4 linked regions of the Schizosaccharomyces pombe genome follow. The gene in region 4 interacts genetically with the main gene of each other region. Each region holds a gene or a part of one and is shown on either strand. Other genes may lie near its edges.

Evidence for each region.
Region 1: of dhp1 (region 4) and tfs1, changing one suppresses a phenotype caused by changing the other (phenotypic suppression), as found in Schizosaccharomyces pombe (one study listed by BioGRID).
Region 2: mutations in dhp1 (region 4) and rpb7 are lethal when combined (synthetic lethality), as found in Schizosaccharomyces pombe (one study listed by BioGRID).
Region 3: of dhp1 (region 4) and sir2, changing one enhances a phenotype caused by changing the other (phenotypic enhancement), as found in Schizosaccharomyces pombe (one study listed by BioGRID).

What each region holds. Positions count from the first base shown.
Region 1 is NC_003424.3:2,114,413-2,119,474, forward strand, and holds tfs1 (general transcription elongation factor TFIIS), read right to left. Parts: upstream 2,045-5,062; 5' UTR 1,970-2,044; coding exon 1,901-1,969; intron 1,844-1,900; coding exon 1,781-1,843; intron 1,606-1,780; coding exon 926-1,605; intron 863-925; coding exon 838-862; intron 789-837; coding exon 744-788; 3' UTR 501-743; downstream 1-500. Other genes in the region: protein dsc3, read left to right, coding at 1-351; ATP-dependent 3'-5'-directionality DNA helicase fml2, read left to right, coding at 2,457-4,808; mde1 (5'-methylthioribulose-1-phosphate dehydratase), read right to left, coding at 4,950-5,062. UniProt on the Schizosaccharomyces pombe protein: Necessary for efficient RNA polymerase II transcription elongation past template-encoded arresting sites.
Region 2 is NC_003424.3:2,899,328-2,904,111, reverse strand, and holds rpb7 (DNA-directed RNA polymerase complex II subunit Rpb7), read right to left. Parts: upstream 2,029-4,784; 5' UTR 1,825-2,028; coding exon 1,351-1,824; exon of another isoform or gene 1,284-1,350; coding exon 1,239-1,283; 3' UTR 979-1,238; downstream 1-978. Other genes in the region: tcb3 (tricalbin), read left to right, coding at 1-743; P-type calcium transport ATPase Cta4, read right to left, coding at 2,418-4,784.
Region 3 is NC_003423.3:3,607,887-3,613,871, forward strand, and holds sir2 (histone deacetylase, Sirtuin family, NAD-dependent Sir2), read right to left. Parts: upstream 3,801-5,985; 5' UTR 3,671-3,800; coding exon 3,487-3,670; exon of another isoform or gene 3,324-3,486; coding exon 3,261-3,323; exon of another isoform or gene 3,224-3,260; intron 3,220-3,223; coding exon 3,137-3,219; intron 3,007-3,136; coding exon 2,975-3,006; exon of another isoform or gene 2,890-2,974; coding exon 2,453-2,889; exon of another isoform or gene 2,389-2,452; coding exon 1,760-2,388; 3' UTR 1,331-1,759; downstream 1-1,330. Other genes in the region: plasma membrane ZIP zinc transmembrane transporter Zrt1, read left to right, coding at 4-1,230; heat shock protein Hsp104, read right to left, coding at 4,473-5,985. UniProt on the Schizosaccharomyces pombe protein: Involved in silencing within the mating-type region, at the telomeres, and according to PubMed:12867036 also within centromeric DNA regions.
Region 4 is NC_003424.3:3,355,243-3,363,605, reverse strand, and holds dhp1 (5'-3' exoribonuclease Dhp1), read left to right. Parts: upstream 1-2,602; 5' UTR 2,603-2,713; coding exon 2,714-5,689; 3' UTR 5,690-5,856; coding exon of another isoform or gene 5,857-6,477; 3' UTR 6,478-6,526; coding exon of another isoform or gene 6,527-6,874; 3' UTR 6,875-7,462; downstream 7,463-8,363. Other genes in the region: Tf2-4 (retrotransposable element/transposon Tf2-type), read left to right, coding at 1-2,059; SPOM_SPAC26A3.11 (mitochondrial omega-amidase), read right to left, coding at 5,857-6,477, 6,527-6,874; cnt6 (centaurin ADOP ribosylation factor GTPase-activating protein), read right to left, coding at 7,991-8,363. UniProt on the Schizosaccharomyces pombe protein: Possesses 5'->3' exoribonuclease activity. Required for the processing of nuclear mRNA and rRNA precursors. May promote the termination of transcription by RNA polymerase II. Essential for vegetative cell growth and chromosome segregation.

The sequences.
Region 1 (5,062 bases), 1.2 Mb from region 4:
CGTGGTTTTGATCGTTTACGTGAAGCTGGTTTTACAGAAACCGAGGTCAATAATTTGCGTAGCCAATTTCATCGCTTACGAGGAACTAATTTGGATTCACTCACGGAAGACGCTATCAGAGAGGCAGAAGACGATTGGATTGACAATGGAGGACAAAACTCTTCTGCCGACGAACTTGACATGTCATATGAAACCTTGTTGGCTGGAGTATTAATAGGCTTTTTTGGAGGAGCTATTGCTTGTTATTTTCTTTGGGAAAGGACAATGTTCTCTCTGAGAATGCAATTATCCATTCTTGTCGGAATTATTTGCAATTTTGCATACGGCTTATTACACTCGTATCGATGGTAAACCCGTTCATTTTTGTTAAAATTTTTGTCCAATACAATTAATCGTTCCACTTTTCGTTGCACTTGTTAATTATGACTACAGTTTAATTGAGGATTAATAATGTCGAATTTTATGATCTATTCGCTTTGATCAAGCGTTAACTTATTAAATGTACGTTTAAAACACCATTTGGATTTATTAAGAAGTGTAAAGTAGGATAACTGTAAAAGTGTCGTATTGAGTGTGCAAAAGTAAAATATGCATATATTCATCGCTAGAATGAAAGATACCAATCAGATCCTAAAACAAAAAAAAACACACACAATAGAGGAGAGTGCTTCTAAAACAATAAAAAGAAGAAGAAATATGAAGGATTATTTTACAACCGGTATCTAAATGGGCTGACCCAAGATTTAAGAAAATTTCCAGCGATTTCCGCAAACAGTACATTCACAAAACTAAAAAAAAATTAGTCCAAATATTCTACCCAAATAGACTAATGCTTACCGTTGTCATAGGCTCATCAGCAGATCTATACGGATTGTTAATAAATTTTACGCGATAAAAAGTACTAAAATCATGACAAATAACATACCTTGTTTGCATTTGGTAATAAGAAACTTTTTTTTGCTTACACTTCCCACAAGTAAAAAGGTCTGTAACAGCTTTTTGGGGTTTAGCACCTTGCGCATGGAATAAATTTTCTTGTTCTAGCTTGGCATCTTCCTTGCGACGGTCTTCTGAAGCCAATTCGGCAGAAGTCATGGTACTGAGTCTTTGCGGAGTAATTTCATTTCGTAATACTGATGCTCTAAGTTTCGGGTTATTTTTATCTTTAAGATTCATATACAAGGACCGCATTCTGTTTCGATATTCAGAACCAGTTTTACCTGCTGCTCTAGCAAGTACTTGCGCATCAATTTCTTTGGCTTTGGCTATTATTAATGAAGAAGATTCATCCGAATCTATGACTAATGCATTGTACATTAATCCAATACAGTTGTTGCGAATCTTGTCATCAGTCACATTGACGTTCACATTATCAGATTTAAAAGTACGCTGACCACTGCTGCTTTGTTTTTGAACTTGTTTTTGAGCTTGAGAACCTACATCCGCATGTTTAGAAGGCGTGGAGGAAGTTGTAGTTGTGGTTTTCAATGGACGACCTTTACTAACATCGGCTTTCCATTTTTTTACAATTTCCCGAGCTTGCTCACCAACTTTCTCATTGGGATGAGATCTGAGCTTGCCAACGACTAATCCCAGCCGGGTTTCCTAGCATCATTGGTTAGTATTTTGAATACCGATTCTCCATCAAATGTTGGTACTCTTGTGGAATTCGTATTTTAAGAAAGATGTTATTTCTATTAAGTGAAATTTGCAAAATTCATGTAATATATTGTCAACAATCCGTGCGAGAATACTACCATATTGCATGTAATAAACCTACCTTAAGTAATTCTTCGGTAGCAACTACTTCATTTTTTAAACGTGTCATAATGTTAATTATAGTCTAGCTTGATATTAGCTTCAAAACCATCTGTAAGTCCCAATAGCACAAATTACAAACCTCTATATTCTTTCCCTGAATAGCTTTTTCCAAAGCTGCTTTCGCAGATCGGATATCAGCAGAGTCCATGATTCAAATTAAGTTCGAATACTGTAAACACTGCTGTTGGTTAGCAGATTGCAAAATTAATAATCTTATGGTGGTAGAGGATTTATTTTGGATAACGCGCTTTACATCTCACATGTCTACTAATACCGTTGTGATTTTTCTTCACCACCATAGTTGCTGATGTGAATATCAACACCCCGTAACGTGATTTTGTTAGTTGAATTCTTGAGTTTGACAGTTTTTTTTTCAAGTTTGCAAACTGTTTTCTGTTTATCGCATTAGTACTCGTGTTTATTTTACAACGTTAAATTTTCATGCTCCTCCGCTGACTTGATCTTACTCAATTGTTAATTGTTTTATCAGCTTTGTTTATGAAAAGCAAAGATTATAATGTTGTTTGATCAAATTGAAGAAACTTGATGTTCAAGAATTTAAAAGTTTGATATTCAGTTTATTTTTGAAACTTACTTTGGTCTATGTGTTCGTTCGTTTTCATAAATTTAGTTTCATGATTGTACTGAGAGACTCAAGTGACTATTCCGACTCTGAAGTAGACCTGCCAAGTATCGAGGTGAACGGAGAACGAGGAAATGTTCCTACCTCAGTGCTTTGTAATGTTGAAGGATCTTTGTTGAATTCTAATCCTGCTTTAAGGCAACCAAATTTGAAATGTATAAAACATAATCAAGACGTTGAAAATACTACGTTTCAACTAGACTTGCGAGGCTGTAGGGTTCCTTCTTCTCAACCTCAAGTTATAACTGAGTTAGAAAACAATATTGACATTCCAAAAAATATTGATGCAATGCAAAACTGGATTTTTCCACAGACTCAGCAGTATAGAAATTATCAAAAGGAATTTTGTGAGCAAGCATTATTCCACAATTTATTACTGGCTCTACCTACTGGGTTGGGAAAGACATTTATTGCGGCAGTGGTCATGTTAAACTATTTTCGTTGGTTTCCTGAAAGCAAAATAATATTTCTTGCCCCCACAAAACCATTACTGTTGCAACAAAGAGTTGCTTGTTCCAATGTAGCGGGAATGTCACCAGGTGCTACCGCTGAATTGAACGGTGAAGTATCACCGGATCGTCGACTTTTCGAATACAATACGAAACGAGTATTTTTCATGACTCCACAAACACTCCAGAATGATTTAAAGGAACATTTACTGGATGCCAAAAGTATTATTTGCCTGATATTTGATGAAGCTCATAGAGCTACTGGCAACCATTCGTATGCTCAGGTTATGAGGGCAGTGCTTAGATCTAATAGTCATTTTCGAGTCCTTGGTTTAACCGCAACTCCAGGATCTTCTACCGCCTCTGTTCAAAAGGTAGTAGATTGCCTCCATATCTCCAAACTCATTGTTCGCAACGAAGAAAGTATAGATATTCGCTCATATGTTTTTCATAAAAAGATTCAGTTGATTAAGGTCACGATCTCCTCTGAAATGAATATTTTAAAATCGGACTTTGCTAACCTATACCGGCCATATTTTAATTTTCTCCGTCAAAAAAAACTTATACCTATCAATTGTGAATGCCTTAATATAAAAGCTTATACGCTTTTCGTTTCTTTACGAAAGTATTCCTTTAGTTCAAAAAATGTACAATCTAAAGAAAAATCAAAAATCATGAGTTGCTTTACGCTATTGATTTCATGTGCTCATATAACGTATCTGTTAGATTGTCATGGGATTATCCAATTTTATCAAAAGCTTGTGGAAACTAAAAATAAAGCTGAAGGAAAAGGGAGTGGACAAAGCTTTTGGTTGTTTACTAGTAAACCGTTTGCTTTTTATTTAGAACACCTTCACAATAAAATTCAAGGTTTGTCATTAAACCATCCTAAAATGAATCATCTTCTTGAACTTTTGAAAGAACATTTCAAAGATACTTCTGAAGGCTATCAAAATCAACGAGTTATGATTTTCACAGAATTTCGAAACACTGCTGAATATATCACAACGACATTGTTGGCAATTCGACCTATGGTTCGAGCTTCTTTATTTATTGGGCAGGCGAACTCGGCTTACTCAACTGGCATGAATCAGATGCAACAAAAAGAAACTATCGATCAATTTCGTGCAGGTGTTATAAACACGCTAGTTGCTACATCAATCGGCGAAGAGGGTTTAGACATTGGTGATACCGATATGATTATTTGCTATGATGCTTCATCTTCACCGATACGCACGATTCAAAGAATGGGTAGAACTGGTCGTAAGAAAAGTGGAAAAGTTTTTGTGCTTCTTACCGAAGATTGTGAAGATTCTAAATGGGAGCGATCTCAAGTTTCCTACAGAAGGGTTCAAAAGGTAATTGAATCCGGTAAAAAAATAGCACTTAAAAAGGACGTTCCTCGTTTAATCCCTAGCAACATACAACCTATTTTTAAATTTCAAGCTTTACAGAACAATGCGGACGCAACATTGATATTAAACTCATATAACAATAATTCCTCATCATTGTCACCTGTAAATACACTAGCGAACCAAGCGCATTCTCGTTCTAAACGGTATCTTCCTTTCATAGTGGATGATGTTTTTGAAGATATGGAAAGCAACCTACGGGTGCCTACTGAAGACGCAAAAATTAAGCGATTTAAATCGGATTATAGAAGTTGTATTTATAACGCCAGACGCAATGTATTTTCAAAGCCTACCTATATGGGTGACAAATTGACTAAGTTCGCAAAAGTACCACATTCTTTATTAACGCTCAGCATCTATAGACGGGGTAGACTTTTGCAACAATGCTCGCCTTCCTCTGTCACCAAATACTTAAAATATGAAGAGAAATTTAAACGGAAGCGGATGAAGAAAACGTCGAATGCATTATTTCAAAGTACATGAAATTACTGATTAAATACCTTAAAGAAAAAAATATCATAATCCGAAACTTTAGTAGGAACTTATGTGAGTTTAAGCTTATTTATTTGTTATATAGTAACTTTTACCTTAGAACGCAATGTCTTTCAAGCTGTCACAAAATTTCTATTCTGGTTTTTGAAGCCTTCTTCTCCGTAAATAAGCTTGGAATAAAAATTCTACCGCTTCAGTATTCATTTTGGTATCTTGCCACGTATCGCCCCAGCAGTAAATACCGT
Region 2 (4,784 bases), 460 kb from region 4:
TAGATGGTGATAAGGAGGTTGGTAGCAAAACTATGCTGAGTCGCGATTTAATTAGTAAAGGCGCTACTAAACCTCTGGAAATTGCATTTCCTGATGGTGCTTCGATTTTGGTCGCTTTTAGGCTAACTCCTGTTCCTGTGAAACTTGAGGAAGTTGAAATGTACGAAAATATGGGAGAAATGACCGTCGATGTCATAAAAGCCACGGATCTCCCTGCCGCAGATTCCAATGGAAAGTCTGATCCTTTCGTTGTTTTCGAGTTGCAAGGAGAAGAAGTGTACCGGACTAAAACGCACAAGCGGACGTTAAATCCTACTTTTAATGAAAGTTTCGAGGTCGAACTTCCTTGCAAGCAAACCTGTAATTTTGTTGCTAATGTTTTTGATTGGGATTTTGGTAACAAGGACGATCATTTGGGCTCTTGTGTAATCGACTGCAAGCTTCTTCAACAGCAACAACAGACTAACTATGAAATTCCTTTGGATAGCAAACAAGGAGTTCTTTATCTTCGTATAACTCTGAGCCCAAAATGGGTCCTTCGTTCCAAACGCGCCGGAAATTCTTCTCTTGTCGAAGGAATTCTTGGACAGACTGCTTCGATTGTTGGTATGCCTCTTAAAGGCATTAGTACTGTAGGTAATGTTGCTGTTGATGGGGTTGCCTCGGTGGCTAACCTTACGAACAAAATGCGAAAAGGAATAAGCCGTGGTTTTAAAGGAATTCATCACGAGAAGGCAAAGTGACTTTCCATTCTGTTATTTATTAGTTCTTTATTACAATTCGGTTTTCGCATTCTGACTTATTTGAGTAATATATTATCATTATGTTAAATGCATACTTTGATTATAAGGTATTTGAATATTTTCATGGTTTTCTATTTACCGAAGAACGATAAAGACTTATGCACTCCTAATAGATAAAATGCTAGCCCAAGATTGTATTCATAAGGAAATCGTCGATTGATATTGCGATTATATACAATAATTAGGGAAATTCTATTGTTGTGTAAAGGGTATATAAAGTTAAAATTTTTTTTTAAAGATATTGCGCAGCTTTTAGCCATAACATTACCACAGAATAGAGCCAAAATTTAGATCGATAAACGTTGGTATGCGCTTTTACAACTACATGAATAAACTTTGAGACCTAGAAAGGAACTTAATAATAACAGTATACGCGATGGTTAGCATTGAATTAATGAACATGAGAAATAAAAGACAAATTAAAATTTTATCTTTTTAAAGAACGCCTAGATAATCCTCTTTCATTGTTGCAATGGCAAACTAGATATTATGTTAGTAACACGATTAATTAAGCAAAATAAATATTGTGAACTATTGGGAAACTTACAATTTCGGTTGCATCAGTCCTTGTACCGACAATCTTAAGTCTGACATTCGACCCCTTTTCAATAACTTGATCCTCACCAGAATAATTAGGAGGGTTTGCAGTAGGGTCAAACTTCATATCTGGAGGCACCAAATGAGATGAGACAAAGACATTTAATGGTCCTATATTTGCGAAGAATCCCATTTTATTTACTGTTGTAACAATTGCATCGACCACTTCCCCACGAAATGGTCTCCATAACACTGCACGATACTTTACCTCAAATTCGGCAAACCCTTGCCCAGGAACTACCCTCCCTTTATCAATATCTATAGTATTACTGTCCAAAACGCAAATTATATAGCCATATTGACCTGAGCATGTGCCTTCCACGTCCGCCAACAATTTTGCCTTTAAATAGTCCTGCATTCTAGGACCGAAGTAACTGGGATGCAGAGAAATCGTTAACGAAAGCTCTTTGAGGAAGAAAGGCATTGTATCGATAAGTTAATGCAGAAAAGCCCCAATTCAACTCGATCGGTCGATGCGTATTAAAACTGTAAAATTTTGGTTCAAAATAGGGCAAAAATGATGAACATTAAAAAAAAAAACTTTAAATGAGCTTAGCTCTTTTTATTAAATTAAATTATCCCAATTTTTCAGCGGTTTTCGCAATTGCTTGATATATGCTGAGCGTTCGAGGATTTACGAAGTCCCAGTATCATGGGATAGCGCTTATAGAAATATCCCAAATTTTATATGCCTTTCACCTTGCTACTGAGAAGGATTTTAACAAGTGAATATTATTTTATCTCTAATAAGCATCTATTACGTCCTATAAAAAGCTCACTTACACTATTCCAAATTAATAAATCAAATATGCCAAGAATGAATCAATCATTGAGTCTATGTAAAATATTCATAACAAGTAATCAAATTGAAAATGGTGATAAATATTGTATACTGACCGAAGAAAATTGACATCCTTGCCCATCAGTGAGTAATGCAATTACTCATCAGTTTGTTCAAATGAATATTTATCTAAGCTTGTACAGATAAGTAGGTGTAACCCACTTATATAATTGTTCTTAATTACGAAGAACAATTTCCTTCGGCTTGTTGTCACGGAAGTATTTTTTCATAAGCTCTTCAATAATCCAACAAGCCGCGTAATCTACAACCATTGTGGCTAACAGTTGTATCTGGAAATTATAAGCCATTTTAACTAACTGAAGTTTTGCGTTGAGTTCAGGCGAAAACTCAGTTACACCAGCAATAGCGACAAAGGCAATGCCCAAAAGGCCATAGTACATTCCTTTATTTTCACTTAAAGCTTCACGGAAAGGACGGCCCTGATAATTGATAGCAAACGTTGAGACTTGTTGAATAAGTTGAAGCAAATAAATGGCAGTATTCAACAAAGAAGGCTTGAAGGTTTCTTCTAAATCCACCTTTTCTAAAGGATCCTCATACAGATAAACGACACGAGTTATATAGATAAGGGTAACGATATGAATAGCAAACTGACCTAAAACAGAACCAATTATGTAAGTGTTAAAAATTCCAGCTTGAGGCCTTTCTTTTGAAAGAGTTTCAAGTGGACGAGCCCGTGAAACACAGTAAAAACAAACAGACATTAACATTCCCGAAATAGTGTATTGAGTATCACCAAATTTAATTCCATCCAGATGAAGTACTGACAACGAGTAAGCAGTGATCAAACAGTTGAGAGCCAAAATCTTATGCATTTGAACGAGGGCAACTAAAGTACAACGACCTTGACGCACAATGTTGGTTATCGAAGAAACTACAGCTAATTTAGAAGTAAATGGTGCAGCAACAGAAGCGTCTCCTAGCTTAAGTTTCGGTGCCTCATCATCAGAAGCGTTTGCTAAAGTGTCAAACATCTTGTTAGCCAGATTTGCCCGTCTTTCAGCAGCTTTCTCAGCTTCCGTTAATTGAACATCACTAGCTTTCTTAGTTTCCAAATCTTCCAGGACCTTATTTAAGCCTTCTTGAGTCTTTTCACGATGAGGGTTGTTAGGACCAGGAGGGAAAGCATGGCAAAGTGCAGGTGGAACAGGAGGAGTTGGAAGATTAAATCTTTTAGCAAGTTGAATTTGCTTTTCATAAACGCCCATCAACTTCTGATTACGAGCTCTCTCTTGCATTTCAAGCATATCTTCTTCCGAAGCATTTAATAAAGCTACACCAACGTGTGCTTGTTTAAGAGCACCCACATCATTGGTACCATCACCACACATAAGAGTTATATATCCATTGTGTTTCAAAGTTGAGATCATGAATTCTTTTTGAGAAGGAGAAACACGCGCATAAACCCAAGCGTGAGTAAAAATTGACATAATAACGTCCGGATTGATAATTTGAGACAAAGCACGACCGGTAATACAAAGATCATACTTTTCGTACAACGAAGCTTCCAACGATTTATGAGGATTCATGGGTAAATTGATTGTATCATCTGTGCTCTTCCACTCTAAAATCTTTTCATTCTCATGCTTAATATCCAATACGAGGGTTGGCTTTTCAACAATACCAACTTGTTCAGCTACATATACGGCGGTCAGAGGATTGTCACCAGTTATCATCATGCAACGATGCGAAGAATTGTTTAGCATTTGCACAGTTTGCCTAGCATCCTCTTTAAGAGGAGAAGTAAAAATAAGGAATCCCGCAAATACAAGGTCAGACTCAATAGATTCACGGCTCAAATCAGAAACTTGATTCTCAGGGATATAATTTTTAAAATATTTATAACCTAGGGCGAGTACTCGAGACCCTTTACGACCATAATCTTTATAAATTTTTTCATAATCCTTAGGGACCTCCCGCAACATAGTAGCAATCACTTCAGGGGCTCCTTTTACCGAAACAAAAGTTTTAAAACTTCCTCCAGACACTCTTACGTTGGAAACAGAAGACTGTCTTTTTAAAGCTGAAGAAAATTGGAAGTTTCGAATGATTTGAACTTTACCTTTATAAAAAACAGAACCTTCAGGTGCTGAAACAAAATTCTTTTTCTCAATAGACCAACCCAAGTTTTCAACCGTAGCCTTTTCCATGGGGTCACCAACGACTTTGGGAGTTTCACCTTCTTGTTCCAGCAAAACTAAGGTATGTGCCGTAGCAATTGCCAGTATCGCATCGTTAGAAGCATCGCTTAATTTTTCAAGACTATAAGGATCCTTTCTATTAACTCCAGCAATACCTTGAACAACCATATGCTCTTCAGTTAAGGTACCCGTCTTATCAAAGCAACAGATATCCAAATGACCGGAGAGTGGTATACGAAATGGCTCAGTACAATAAATATAATATTTAGAAAGAGCACCTAATGAGGCATTGACAGCCATAGAAAGCTCCATAGGGAGTTCAGAAGGGACAACAGAAGTAATAATCATAACACAATCGAGCATTAATTTGTATCTGCTACG
Region 3 (5,985 bases), on a different chromosome or scaffold from region 4:
AAAATGTCTTTAAACAATTTATCTAACTCATATAATCAATATCTTGCTCAAGAATCTCACCAAATATTGAGACATCTTTTTCTTAATAAGCAATATAGTCCATTGGTAAAAAGAGACGATGATAGCTCTGCTACTGTGACTTGTGGAGGTGATGCCAATGAATTCAACGAATATGGTCATCTGGGATATCGTATTGGTGCCATCTTTGTTATCTTGGCTACTTCATTAATTGGCATGAACTTACCTTTGGTCCTTTCTAAAATCACCAAAAACAGACCCAACGTTTATATTGAATATCTCTATCTATTCGCTCGTTATTTTGGTTCTGGTGTTATTTTGGCTACTGCTTTTATTCACTTGTTAGCCCCTGCTTGTAACAAGCTTTACGATCCTTGTCTTGACGACCTTTTCGGAGGTTACGATTGGGCTCCAGGTATTTGTCTTATTTCTTGTTGGTTTATTCTCTTGTTGGAGGTCCTTTTGAATCGCTATGTGGAATGGCGGTTCGGTATGGAAATCGGCGATCATCATGGTCCAACTCTTGGTGCCAAACAACACAGTCATAGTCACGAAGACGGTGCTCACGGTGTTCATGAACATCCAGTTTATGATATTGAAGAATGTGCCGATGGTGTTGAGCATGAATGTGTAAAGGATGACTTGGAAGAAGTAAAACTAGAACCTTATACGAATACTGATAGTACCGATTTGACTACTAAAGAAGAAGCTCGTAGTTTCTTACTAAAGCAACAACTTACTGCCTTTATAATTCTTGAATCTAGTATCATTTTGCATAGTGTTATTATCGGTCTTACAACTGCCGTCTCAGGTGAAGAATTTAAAACTTTATTTCCCGTCATTATTTTCCATCAGGCCTTTGAAGGTTGTGGTTTAGGTTCTCGTTTGGCGGGAATGGCCTGGGGCCCAAAAACTGCATGGGTACCTTGGGTGTTGGGCGTTATCTATTCGTTGGTTACGCCTATTGGTATGGCAGCTGGTTTAGGTGTTCGTGAGCATTGGGATCCTCTTGCTCATGGGTCTTATGCTGCCCAAGGTGTTTTGGATGCTATCTCATCTGGAATTTTGGTTTATGCTGGTTTAGTGGAATTACTTGCACACGATTTCTTATTTAGTCCTGAAAGAGAACGTAACTGGTATAAGCTTATTTACCTTTTGGCATGCTCGATGGCTGGTACTGGAGTTATGGCTTTGTTAGGTAAATGGGCTTGATTTGGTGGCTTTTTCGATGATCCGTGCATTTTATATTCTTCATTAAATCTGTTTTCTTCTTTTGAGTTTGAGTGTCAATATCGTTGACCAATTTCTAATTGTCCGTTTTCAGTTGTTTCTCTTTAGTATCGTACAATTAGATGCTTCATTGGTTGTATTGATATGTACCAATCAATCTTTCAATTTTAAATAATAATTGTGTCATTTTCACTGATTTACTATGCTTAAAAAAGTAGCTAATTTTGCATAGCCTATGAATGTAATTTGCTTCAATGTTCATTTACTAATTACACAGTCCTTGGTATTGTAAAATGTATTATAACTTGTTTTAATGTGTTTTCACCCAGTTTAGCAGATTTAAACATTAGGTGCGAAGAGAAAAAACAGTTTTTAACAATGGCACTTACAAAACTAAGAAGTCTCAAACGGATAATAAGTTAATGTCCAATAATCTGGCTCTCATACTCGATATATGTATATAATATATTTGCTTCTACATTCAACTTCGATAGATCGATCAGTCCTAAAATTAACAACTACCGTTTGTTGTGCTCGTGATATGATAGGTGCTGGGCTCCTCAAATTTTATATCCAAATCCGTTTCGAAAGCTCGCGTTTTGGAACCACTATGACACTCAGGTAAATCGCAAAGCGCTTGTAATTCATTCAGCCATCCAGCACGTTTACAAATCTCCACAATAACCCAATCACAATAAGGACTTAGAAAATTTACATCGAATTGGGTATGACGAACAGGAGTCCTCGAAATGTAAATCTGAGGAGTAGTAGGAGGAATAACACTGATGAGTTCTGAAACAGGAGCCACTTTTAAAGAAGTTCCAATACAAATTAATAAATCAGTCTCTTCAAGCTCACCACTCCCGACTTTGTTAAAGAAAGAATCCGGTAAGGCTTCCCCAAAAAATGTGATATCAGGTTTCATAATCCCAGGTTGAGCTAGATCATCTTCAGAAGATTCACTATCACCATCTGAAAAATAATGTTTCTCTTTTTTATTTTGACCGACTCTTCTTAATTTTAAGGGTGGTTTTCCGCATTCATTGCAGTAAGAAACTCTTTGATTTCTTATGTCTTCATATAACTCCGATCCATCCACCTTGTGCTTGCATTTGATACAAGTTGCGGTAGCAAAAGACCCTATATAATCAAATTAGACAAAATCACCAGTGCTCGAGATGCAAATCGGAAAATAAATACTTACCATGACATTGAATAATTTTGTTATCGGAGAGTCCAGTCTTTTTTTCCAAATTGTCTATATTTTGGGTAAACAATGTTGATAATTTATTCTTCTTTTCAAGCAATCTAATGAAGGCATGCGAGGGGGAATAATGATTCGTCTCCGGCAAAAGATCTCTAGCAAAAGTATAAAAAATTTCTGGATTTTCTCTAAACGTATGGATATCAAACATTTCAGAAGGTTCCGATAATCCATGGCGTGCCAAACGGGCATAAAAACCATTGTCTGAACGGAAATCTAAAATTCCCAAACTTGTACTTATGCCTGCCCCAACAAGGACGACAACATTTTTAGCTTTTTTCAATAAATTAACAACATCTTCAAAGGTATTAAAATGTGGAAGTTTGATTCTCCTAGCAACCTCACGTTTTAAAACTTCCTTCAGCAAAGGAAGTAAACTAATTAGCACGTTAGTATATCGATAGCAGATATTTTAAAAAATAAAAGATAAAAAGATAAGAAGGAAGTTAAAGAAAAGCATACTCTATGTCTTCAAACTCTTCAAGTGCACTAGGCTATTTACGTTAATAAATCTAGGTAAAGTCATAAGAAAACAAAACATGCAGTAGACCAAATTATTATTGCAATTTAACAAAAATAATCTGCTAATTTAATGTAATGCAAGTTATAAATCAGTAAGCATACCAAATTGATTCCAAGTTTTTTTAAAATCGATCGTACAGGCAACTCTTCTTCTATTAAATATTTCTCCAAGAATTTCGCATAGCCTACAAATACTAGTTAAAATGTAAATTAAGTAACTCCTTACCTGAAGCCCTTAAATATCTGACCATTTCGGATCGTTCATCCAAATCACTTATGTTTTCTGTTTCTAAGGAATCGTTAACTTTTTAAATAATTAAAATAAACTAAAGTATATGAAAAGCACATAGCTAACCTGAACTCAAAATCGTTGATCAATTGTAAATTTTGTAAATTCAAATAGACTTGCGCGTACCCTTGAAGGTATTGGAGTTAATAGTTGATATTCATACCTGGTTTATCCCATTCATCAGAATCAACCTCTTCATCCTCAGTTTCTTTACTGCCGCACATAATATCTACTAGTAAACTAGCACCGGAACTACTACCAGAAGAGCTAGGAGAATAACTAGCGACTGGAATTTTTTCCTCAACGGGAGTCGTCGGCATATTATTATCTAGCGGATTGGAAGCCATGACAGAGTTTGTATAACATGAAAATATGACTAATCAATTATTTTTAAGGAAGTATAAATTAAAGCTTCGTTTGAGAAAGGCAATGATCTACTGAACTGAAGATCTCTGGTTCAACTTTTCGATAAGTCTTATTACAATTACGAAAAGCTAGTCTCTTGTTTAGTGCAGTAAAGTTTCGTTAGCTTAATGGTATGCGGGCAACTGTGATCTCGTTATTTCCTGGTAATAATGGCTATTAGAAGCAAAGCACTGTATAAGTTTAACTATACAACTTGTTAATTTAAACGTTGCTTTGAACCATGAGAACTGGAATGCGTATTAGTATGCAATGCGCAAGTGTAGAAAGTAATGAAATGATATGATAGTGATTTACCAAATGTTAAAGTTAATCATGTAAATTCAATTTAAAATCTACTAAAAGTATGAGAGCTAATTCTGCTTTGATTTTATAAGGAATTACGAGCACTTTCTTACAAGCTCGACTTTCTTGAATGGACTGCATTAATTAATACCTACTAAAATAAATGGAGGTTTTTCGTAAATAACAATGGATTATTTGATAAATTTAAGATTCAATGTTTCATCATACTTGAATTGCTAATAACTAAAAACGATGTACTTAGCTTTTGTTAAATTGATTCTATCTATTCGATAAAGTTCATTGAACATTTTAATGAGAAAACAGTACTTCCTAAAAAGTTTATATACTATATTTTTATAAATAAATAAAATATATTAAGATTAAGCATATCATTAAACTATATCATAAAGTATCGTTAGAACTTTCTCATTTGAAATACATTTATTCCAATTCTTCATCATTAACATCGTCGTCAATACCATCCATGTCAATATCAGCAGAGCCGTTTGCATTAGCTTCATGATTTGGTTTGACAAATATCTTGCCATTTTGGACTACGACATGAGCAGTCTCCTTATCGCGAAGCTGGCCATTCAAAATTAAGACAGCCATGGGATTCAAAACTTGATTTTGAATGACACGGTTCAAAGGTCTTGCACCATAAGCAGGGGAATAACCAGCGCTTCCAAGAAGGTCTTTAGCTTCGTCGCTAACCTCGATTTTAATTGAGCGATGATTGGATTGAAGCCGTTTCTGAACCTCTAATATACGATTTTCGACAATATTGCGGATATCCACACGACGCAGACGATTAAAGATAACGATTGAAGAGATACGATTCAAAAATTCGGGACGGAAGAAGCCACGAATCGAGTTCATAACCATTTCCCGAGTGGTACTATCTATCTTTCCATCATCAGACTCATTGTCTGTTGTCAAGTATTCAGCGCCCAAGTTAGAAGTCATAATGATAACAGCATTCTTGGCATCAACAACCTGGCCTTGGCCACTAGTGATACGTCCATCATCTAGTACCTGCAAAAGTACAGTCAATACTTCTGGAGCAGCCTTTTCAATCTCGTCAAACAAGATGACGGAGTAAGGTCGTCGACGAAGTTGTTCAGTAAGCTGTCCACCAGCTTCATGTCCAACATAACCGGGTGGTGCTCCAATGAGACGTGAAACAGAGTGTTTTTCCATGTATTCAGACATGTCAATACGAATCATTGCATTTTCATCATCAAACATAAATGATGCCAATGCCTTTGTCAATAAAGTCTTACCAGTACCGGAAGGACCGCAAAACAAGAAAGATGCGATTGGTTGATTAGGATCAGAAAGACCAGCACGAGATAAGCGAATGGCGTTTGCAACTGCAGTAACTGCTTCATTTTGACCAATTACTTGTTTACTGAGAACCTTCTCCATGTTAAGGAGTCGTTCCTTTTCAGTTGTCTTCAAACGAGTAACCGGAATACCAGTCCACCTTGCAACGATTTCGTTGATTTGATCGGGCCCAACTACGTCAATAAGTAAAGGTTCTGAGCCTGGTTGAGCGTTTGCAATCGCTTCTGCATCAGCCTTTCTTTTTTGTTGCTCTAAATATTCAATACGTTTTTGCAAATCAGGAATACCATAGTATTTCAAATCAGCAGCAAGAGTGAAATCATTACGACGCTCGGCATCCTCAGCCTTAGCCTTCAACTCATCAAGACGACGCTTAGCATCTTGAAGTTCACTTCCACGAGACTTTTCTAATTCATACTTCTCACGAATAGGTCTTGTTTCTTCTTCCACTTGTTCAGCCTCTTTACGAGCAGCCTTGAGACGTTCTTTGGAAGCTTCGTCCTTCTCACGCTCTAAAGCACGAATTTCAACGCGGAGTTGTCGAAGCTTTCTCTCAAGGTTATCAAGAACTTCGGGCTGAGATTCACGAGTAACACGAACTGCAGCC
Region 4 (8,363 bases):
TGTCAATTATCTTAGGAAATTCATTCCAAAGACATCACAATTAACACATCCACTCAATAATCTTTTGAAAAAGGATGTACGCTGGAAATGGACACCAACACAAACCCAAGCGATAGAAAACATTAAACAATGTTTAGTTTCTCCTCCGGTGCTACGACACTTTGATTTCAGTAAAAAGATTCTACTGGAAACTGATGCTTCAGATGTCGCTGTAGGAGCCGTATTGTCTCAAAAACATGATGATGATAAATACTATCCTGTTGGATACTATTCAGCAAAGATGTCTAAAGCACAATTAAATTATAGCGTATCGGACAAAGAAATGCTTGCAATCATTAAGTCTCTCAAACATTGGAGACACTATTTAGAATCCACTATCGAACCTTTCAAAATTTTAACAGACCATCGAAACTTAATTGGTCGCATTACTAACGAATCCGAGCCTGAAAACAAACGTTTAGCTCGTTGGCAATTATTTTTACAAGACTTCAACTTTGAAATTAACTACAGACCTGGATCAGCAAATCACATAGCTGATGCCTTATCCAGAATTGTTGACGAAACAGAACCAATTCCAAAAGATTCAGAAGACAATAGTATCAACTTTGTTAATCAAATCTCGATAACCGATGATTTTAAAAACCAAGTGGTTACAGAATATACGAATGATACAAAATTGTTGAATTTACTAAACAATGAAGACAAACGAGTGGAAGAGAATATCCAACTCAAAGATGGCTTACTAATTAACAGTAAAGACCAAATCTTATTACCTAATGATACTCAGCTGACTAGGACAATTATTAAAAAGTATCATGAAGAAGGTAAATTGATTCATCCAGGCATTGAACTTCTTACAAACATTATATTACGTAGATTTACGTGGAAAGGAATAAGAAAACAAATACAAGAATATGTACAGAACTGCCATACATGTCAAATAAACAAATCTAGGAATCATAAACCTTATGGACCTTTACAACCAATTCCCCCATCAGAAAGACCTTGGGAATCTTTATCAATGGATTTTATTACAGCTTTACCAGAATCATCTGGTTATAATGCACTTTTCGTGGTAGTTGACCGATTTTCAAAAATGGCAATCTTAGTACCTTGTACGAAATCCATTACAGCAGAGCAAACAGCTCGAATGTTTGATCAACGAGTTATTGCTTATTTCGGCAATCCAAAAGAAATCATTGCAGATAATGATCATATTTTTACTTCCCAAACGTGGAAAGATTTCGCACATAAATATAATTTCGTTATGAAATTTTCGTTACCATACAGACCACAAACTGATGGACAAACTGAGCGTACAAACCAAACTGTGGAGAAATTACTAAGATGTGTATGTAGCACACATCCAAATACATGGGTAGATCATATATCCCTAGTGCAACAATCTTACAACAATGCGATACATTCAGCAACTCAAATGACACCTTTTGAGATAGTACATCGCTATTCACCAGCTTTATCACCTTTAGAGTTACCTAGCTTTAGTGACAAAACTGACGAAAACTCTCAGGAAACGATCCAAGTATTTCAAACAGTTAAAGAACACTTGAATACAAACAACATAAAGATGAAAAAGTATTTCGATATGAAAATACAAGAAATTGAAGAATTTCAACCTGGAGACCTAGTTATGGTCAAAAGAACGAAAACAGGTTTTCTTCATAAATCCAATAAATTAGCACCTAGTTTTGCAGGACCGTTCTATGTGTTACAGAAGTCGGGTCCAAACAACTATGAATTGGATCTTCCAGATTCAATCAAGCACATGTTTTCATCTACTTTTCATGTTTCTCACCTAGAAAAGTATCGACATAATTCAGAACTCAATTACGCTACCATTGATGAGTCTGATATTGGAACAATTCTTCATATCCTAGAACATAAAAACAGAGAACAAGTACTCTACTTAAATGTCAAGTACATTTCGAATCTAAATCCGAGTACTATTATGTCAGGATGGACTACATTAGCTACAGCGCTACAAGCGGACAAAGCAATTGTCAATGATTATATTAAAAACAATAATCTAAATATCTGAGAACATATGACTTATCCTCAGATTTACATAGAAAATCTTGGGGAGGGCAATGTCAGCAATACTACACTACGCTATAATACACTACGTTGAGTATCACTATATGTCACATGTTCTAATTATATATCGTACCATGTATGATACGATATGGAGATTGATCTTAATGATAATCTATTAAGATCAATATTATCTGAATACTATAAATAGAGCTACTGCTGAACCTCGTTCCTCAGTTCAGTTATGAGCTATATTAGTGATAGGTAACATTATAACCCAGTTAATACAATACCTATACTCAGTTGCTACTTATACAACCTGTGTATTGTAATATAATAGATCACAAGGAAAACTCACCGCAGTTCTACGTATCCTTAAATCAGATACCAAACTGCGTAGCTTACACTTAAGAGACTAGATTTTAACTATTGTATAGCGAGTACGTTAGTAATTTCCAATTTACTCCAATGTGCGTTAAAAAATTTAGGTAGGACTGCGGAGACTACGCTAGATCTAGATTAAAATACCTAAATATTAAATCTTCAACTTATACTACACTCGTAGTCTTTAGTATCTAAAATTTACCAATTTGGGCTTTTTTGAAGCATTTGGTTTGGAGAAGATTTATTCGATTGAGTATTTTCTCCTTTACACCAAAAAATGGGTGTTCCAGCACTTTTCCGCCTTTTGTCGAGGAAATTCGCAAAGGTCATTACACCTGTTATTGAGGCTCCTACTGAAAAGCTTCCAGATGGTACTGAAATTGAACCAGATTTAAGTCTTCCCAATCCAAACGGAGTGGAATGCGACAACTTGTATTTGGATATGAATGGTATTGTTCATCCTTGTTCCCATCCTGAAGATCGCCCCGCTCCAGAGACTGAAGACGAGATGATGGTTGCTGTCTTTGAATACACGGATCGTATTCTTGCCATGGTTCGTCCTCGTCAGTTATTGTTCATTGCAATCGATGGCGTGGCTCCTAGAGCCAAAATGAATCAGCAGAGATCACGTCGTTTTCGTTCTTCTCGTGAAGCAGCTCTCAAAGAAGAAGAATTACAAGCCTTCATTGAGGAGGCAAAACAACAGGGAATTCCCATCGACGAAAACGCTACGAAGAAAAAATCTTGGGACAGTAATTGCATTACCCCCGGCACACCTTTCATGGACACTTTGGCCAAGTCTCTTCGTTACTACATAATAAATAAACTAAATAGTGATCCGTGCTGGAGAAATGTCAGATTTATACTTTCTGACGCCTCGGTTCCTGGTGAAGGTGAGCATAAGATCATGGAATTTATTCGATCTCAACGAGTGAAACCAGAGTATGATCCAAATACACACCACGTTGTTTACGGTTTAGATGCAGACCTAATTATGCTTGGTTTGGCTACTCATGAACCCCATTTTCGTGTATTGCGTGAAGATGTCTTCTTTCAACAAGGAAGTACTAAAAAGACAAAGGAAGAGCGTCTTGGCATCAAGAGACTTGATGATGTTTCTGAGACCAATAAGGTTCCTGTAAAAAAACCATTTATATGGCTCAACGTTAGCATTTTGAGGGAGTATCTAGAAGTGGAACTTTATGTCCCCAATTTACCTTTTCCATTTGACTTAGAACGTGCGATTGACGACTGGGTCTTCTTTATCTTTTTTGTGGGTAATGATTTTCTTCCTCATTTGCCTAGTTTAGATATTCGTGATGGTGCCGTAGAGCGGTTGACTGAAATATGGCGAGCTAGTCTTCCGCACATGGGTGGTTATCTTACTTTGGATGGTTCTGTTAATTTAGCTCGTGCTGAAGTCATTCTGAGTGCTGTAGGTAACCAGGAAGATGATATTTTTAAGCGTCTTAAACAGCAAGAAGATCGTCGTAACGAAAACTATAGACGCCGTCAACAACGCGAGTCAAATCAGGAATCAGAATCTTATGTTGACAACGTCGTAATTCAGCGTTCAGTTGAGACGCAATCGACAGAAGTTGTTACCTCTTCTAAATCAACTTCTGTTGATACTAAACCGCCAAAGAAAACTCAAAAAATTGACGCTCCGGCTCCAGTGGATTTGGTTAATTTGTCTGAAAAAACTTCAAATCGATCTCTAGGCGCTACTAATAGAGAATTAATTAATAATCGCGCTGCTAACCGTCTTGGACTTTCTAGGGAAGCAGCTGCTGTTTCTTCAGTTAACAAATTGGCGGCCTCTGCATTGAAAGCTCAGTTGGTTTCAAATGAGACACTACAAAATGTTCCTTTGGAAGACAGCATAGCTTCATCCAGTGCATATGAAGATACCGATAGTATTGAATCTAGTACCCCTGTTGTACATCCAATAGACACAAAAGTTTCAAATGTGGGTCAGAAGAGAAAGGCCCCAGATTCGACTGAAGAAAATGAAAATACTGATACAGTCCGCCTGTATGAGCCTGGATACCGCGAACGGTATTATGAACAAAAATTCCACATTTCACCCGATGAACCAGAAAAAATTCGTGAAGCTGTTAAACATTATGTTCATGGATTGTGCTGGGTTCTTTTGTATTATTATCAAGGCTGTCCATCTTGGACCTGGTATTATCCATATCATTATGCTCCTTTTGCCGCTGATTTCAAAGATTTGGCCTCCATAGATGTAAAATTTGAACTAAATCAACCCTTCAAGCCTTACGAACAATTACTAGGCGTTTTACCTGCTGCTAGTAAAAATAATTTACCTGAAAAATTGCAAACTCTTATGACTGATGAAAACTCTGAAATTATTGACTTTTACCCGGAAAATTTTACTATTGATTTAAACGGGAAAAAATTTGAATGGCAGGGAGTTGCTCTTTTACCATTTATAGATGAAAATCGGCTTTTGAATGCTGTATCAAAAATCTATCCTCAACTTACCGAGGAAGAGTCAAAAAGAAATGAGGATGGTTCTACTTTATTATTTATTTCTGAACATCATCCAATGTTTAGCGAACTTGTCAAACAACTTTACTCCAAGAAACGTCAAGGTAAACCACTTAAGTTATCCGGAAAGATGGCACATGGATTGTTTGGCAAAGTTAACACCAATGATTCCGTAATTCCCAATGTATCCGTTCAATGCCCAATTGATGTTACATCCGCTGACGCCCTTCAGAAGTATGGAAGCATAGATGATAATCAATCTATAAGTCTTGTGTTTGAAGTACCTAAATCGCATTTCGTACATAAATCCATGCTTTTAAGGGGAGTGAAAATGCCGAACAGGGTGTTAACCCCAGAAGATATCAACCAAGTACGTGCAGAGAGGAGCTTTTCTTCCCGCCGAAACAATGGTAATTCGTATCGTGGAGGACACCAAAGTTATGGTGTCCGACGCTCTTACCAATCGCAAAGTTACAGTAGTCGACAGAGCTACACTGGAGTTACTAATGGTTTTGCAAACGGTGGAGTTCAACCTCCTTGGTCTGGTAATGGCAATTTTCCTCGTTCTAATGCAAGCTATAACTCTCGCGGCGGCCACGAAGGATACGGCGGGCGCTCGAGAGGTGGTGGTTATTCGAATGGACCGCCAGCTGGTAACCACTATAGTAGTAATCGCGGAAAGGGTTACGGCTATCAGCGAGAATCCTATAACAATAATAACAGGAATGGCTACTATTAATACATTTAAGTTTTCTTAGTACAATTTTGAAAGCGGGTTTGGGATATTGGAGATAAATAATATATCTGATTATTTGAATTTCATTGGCACATTGCATAATTAGTTATGCAATTCAGTTACAAAATGCATGTTGATAACATAAAATTATACTCAACAACTATACCGATCTATTCCTCTTTCTTAAGAGCAGGTAATACTTCTGAATAAACATCAAAGCGGCGTTGAGTATAGATAGGAACGCTGTTTCGAGCGGTAGACATGACAGAGGGATCAATATCTGCGTAAACGATAGACGGTTTTTCATCAGTAGTAGCAATAACTTTTCCGAAAGGGTCTACAACAGTAGAATGTCCCCATGAATGATAGTCAGCGTTCATATCTCTAGCAGGGGCACAGCAAGCAACGAACATCTCATTATCAACTGCTCGGGCTCGTGCAAGTAGTTCCCAATGTAAAGGGCCTGTGGACAAATTAAATGCTCCAGGGTAAATCATCACACTACAGCCATTTCTAGCTGCTATCATAGCGAGTTCCGGAAATCGTATATCGTAACAAATACCCAAACCAAACTTCCCGTATTCAGTGTCAACCATAGTCATGGCGTCGCCAGGTGAAAGACTATCAGATTCGCGGAAGCTAACTCCACCAGGAATGTCAATATCGAATAAATGAATTTTCCGATGAACGGCTATCAATTTTCCAGAAGGATCAAACACCATTGCAGTGTTGTATAATTTGCCATCCTTGCGTTCAGGAATAGAACCGCCAAATAAGTAAGTCTTAGTATCCTACAGTACCGTTAGTCTCACATAATCAACGAAAATTAAATTAACAAACCTTTGCCATAGAGGATAAAGCTTGGTAAGAAGGAGATGATTCCTCTATAGGTTCAGCATACTGATTAAAGTAACCAGTACCATATGGTGAATTGAAAATTTCTGGTAATACAATGACATTAGAACCGTTTTTAGCGGCTTCCAATACTTTTAAACGAGCGAGTTGTAAATTTTCGCTCTTGTCTTTGGTATTGGCAAGCTGAACCAAGCCAATACGAAAAGCACGAAAATCTTTAGGAACCAGAGATGAAGCTGAGACAGACATGATGTTCCTTGTATAGCAAAAATTTAATGAAGGAAAAAAGGATCTTGTGCCTTTTTGAACGAGTCCAAAAAATTTACTGTTCATATAAACAATCACCGACTTGAAATTTTAGGTGAAGGAAGAGGAATGAGTAGAAAGCAAAGATACGAGGGAAGATGTCCTGATTTGTAGGCTAGTCTCAGAATATCTAGCTTGCGATAATTTTGAGCTCCAAAATATTATATTCCTGAAATCTCAATGTAACTTATTAAGCACGTGGCTAGCGAAATCCTCCAATCCAAATTACACCTTGTTATCAAAAAGAAATTTAGCAAGGTGATCAAACTTCCATGTCTTTGATAAGAAGAATGTCGACATCAAACTAGTTTTCAATCTATTGTAAATCTAAAGAAGAAAAAGGGATTTACATTCAAGCAGCAACTACACAAATAGAAATCGTTGTTTGAATGTTACGGAAGGCAAGACCAAAAAAATTGTTTTTGTTTATCTACAAGTTACAAAAGAATGATATTTATTACTGTGTCAACTAGTTTATAGGTAATGATAATATCGTCTGTCATTTTTAGAAAAAGGGGATTCAATTACTATAGATATTCAGTTGTTCCGAATGTGTTGAAAAATAAAATCTTAAGCGTCTTCGTTTCGCAAAAGAAGAAAATAAATGTTATAATAGCTCGAATGAACTGTTTGGCATACATGTTAATTTCACGTATATTGAATATTGATCTTGTTCAATAACAAATGAACTTATGGCATGCATAAGATCCATCAATCGAGAAGAGCCTAAAAATCGCATTTGAATGCGTATTTAAAGAAAGAATAGCTGTATCCTTAGTCAAAAAATTTTGTATTGAAAGAAAAAAGATTAAGAGTATAATGAAAATAAAGAGGAAAAGAAAGTTCGAAAACCAAAAGATGACCAAGAAAATAATGAGTAAATTACGTTGTTTAGCAAACAACCAAAATAAATTGCAATAATAAATTATAGAATTAACACATGATCCGAATAAGAGTAAAGCTGTGGAGATTAATAAGCTCTCCATTCAAATTCGTTGCGCTTCAAATCATGGAATTCACGGAAATCCGAAATGAAATGACACCTGAATAGATATTGAAATAGATGGTAAAAAGAAAGAATGAATTCGATTGGAAAAATGAACATAAAAGATGATTTGATGCAAAAAGTAAAAATGCTTCTCCCTACTCTTTCAAATACTTTGTAAATTGTTTTTGCGAAAGATATGATTGCATATCTGGACTTACATGCTCCGACAACTGTTCGGAGTCAGGAAGCAATAACCCATTCATGAATAAAAGTTCCAAGAGATGTAACTTACTAGTATCACGAGTAACCGCTTTTAAAAACACCACTCCATTCTCTTCAAAATTTGGTTTGGCGGCTAAACCTAGTAATATTTTGGAGATTTTATTTTGCTCCAAACCCTCCAATAAAGTAGCATCAGCATCTACTCCTGCAAAGTCAATGAATGCGTGTTCCACATACTTCTTCTGGGCAAATGCCAACTTCACCTGCGCATTATGCTCCGGCTTTGGCTTCAGCGAAGGATTAGAA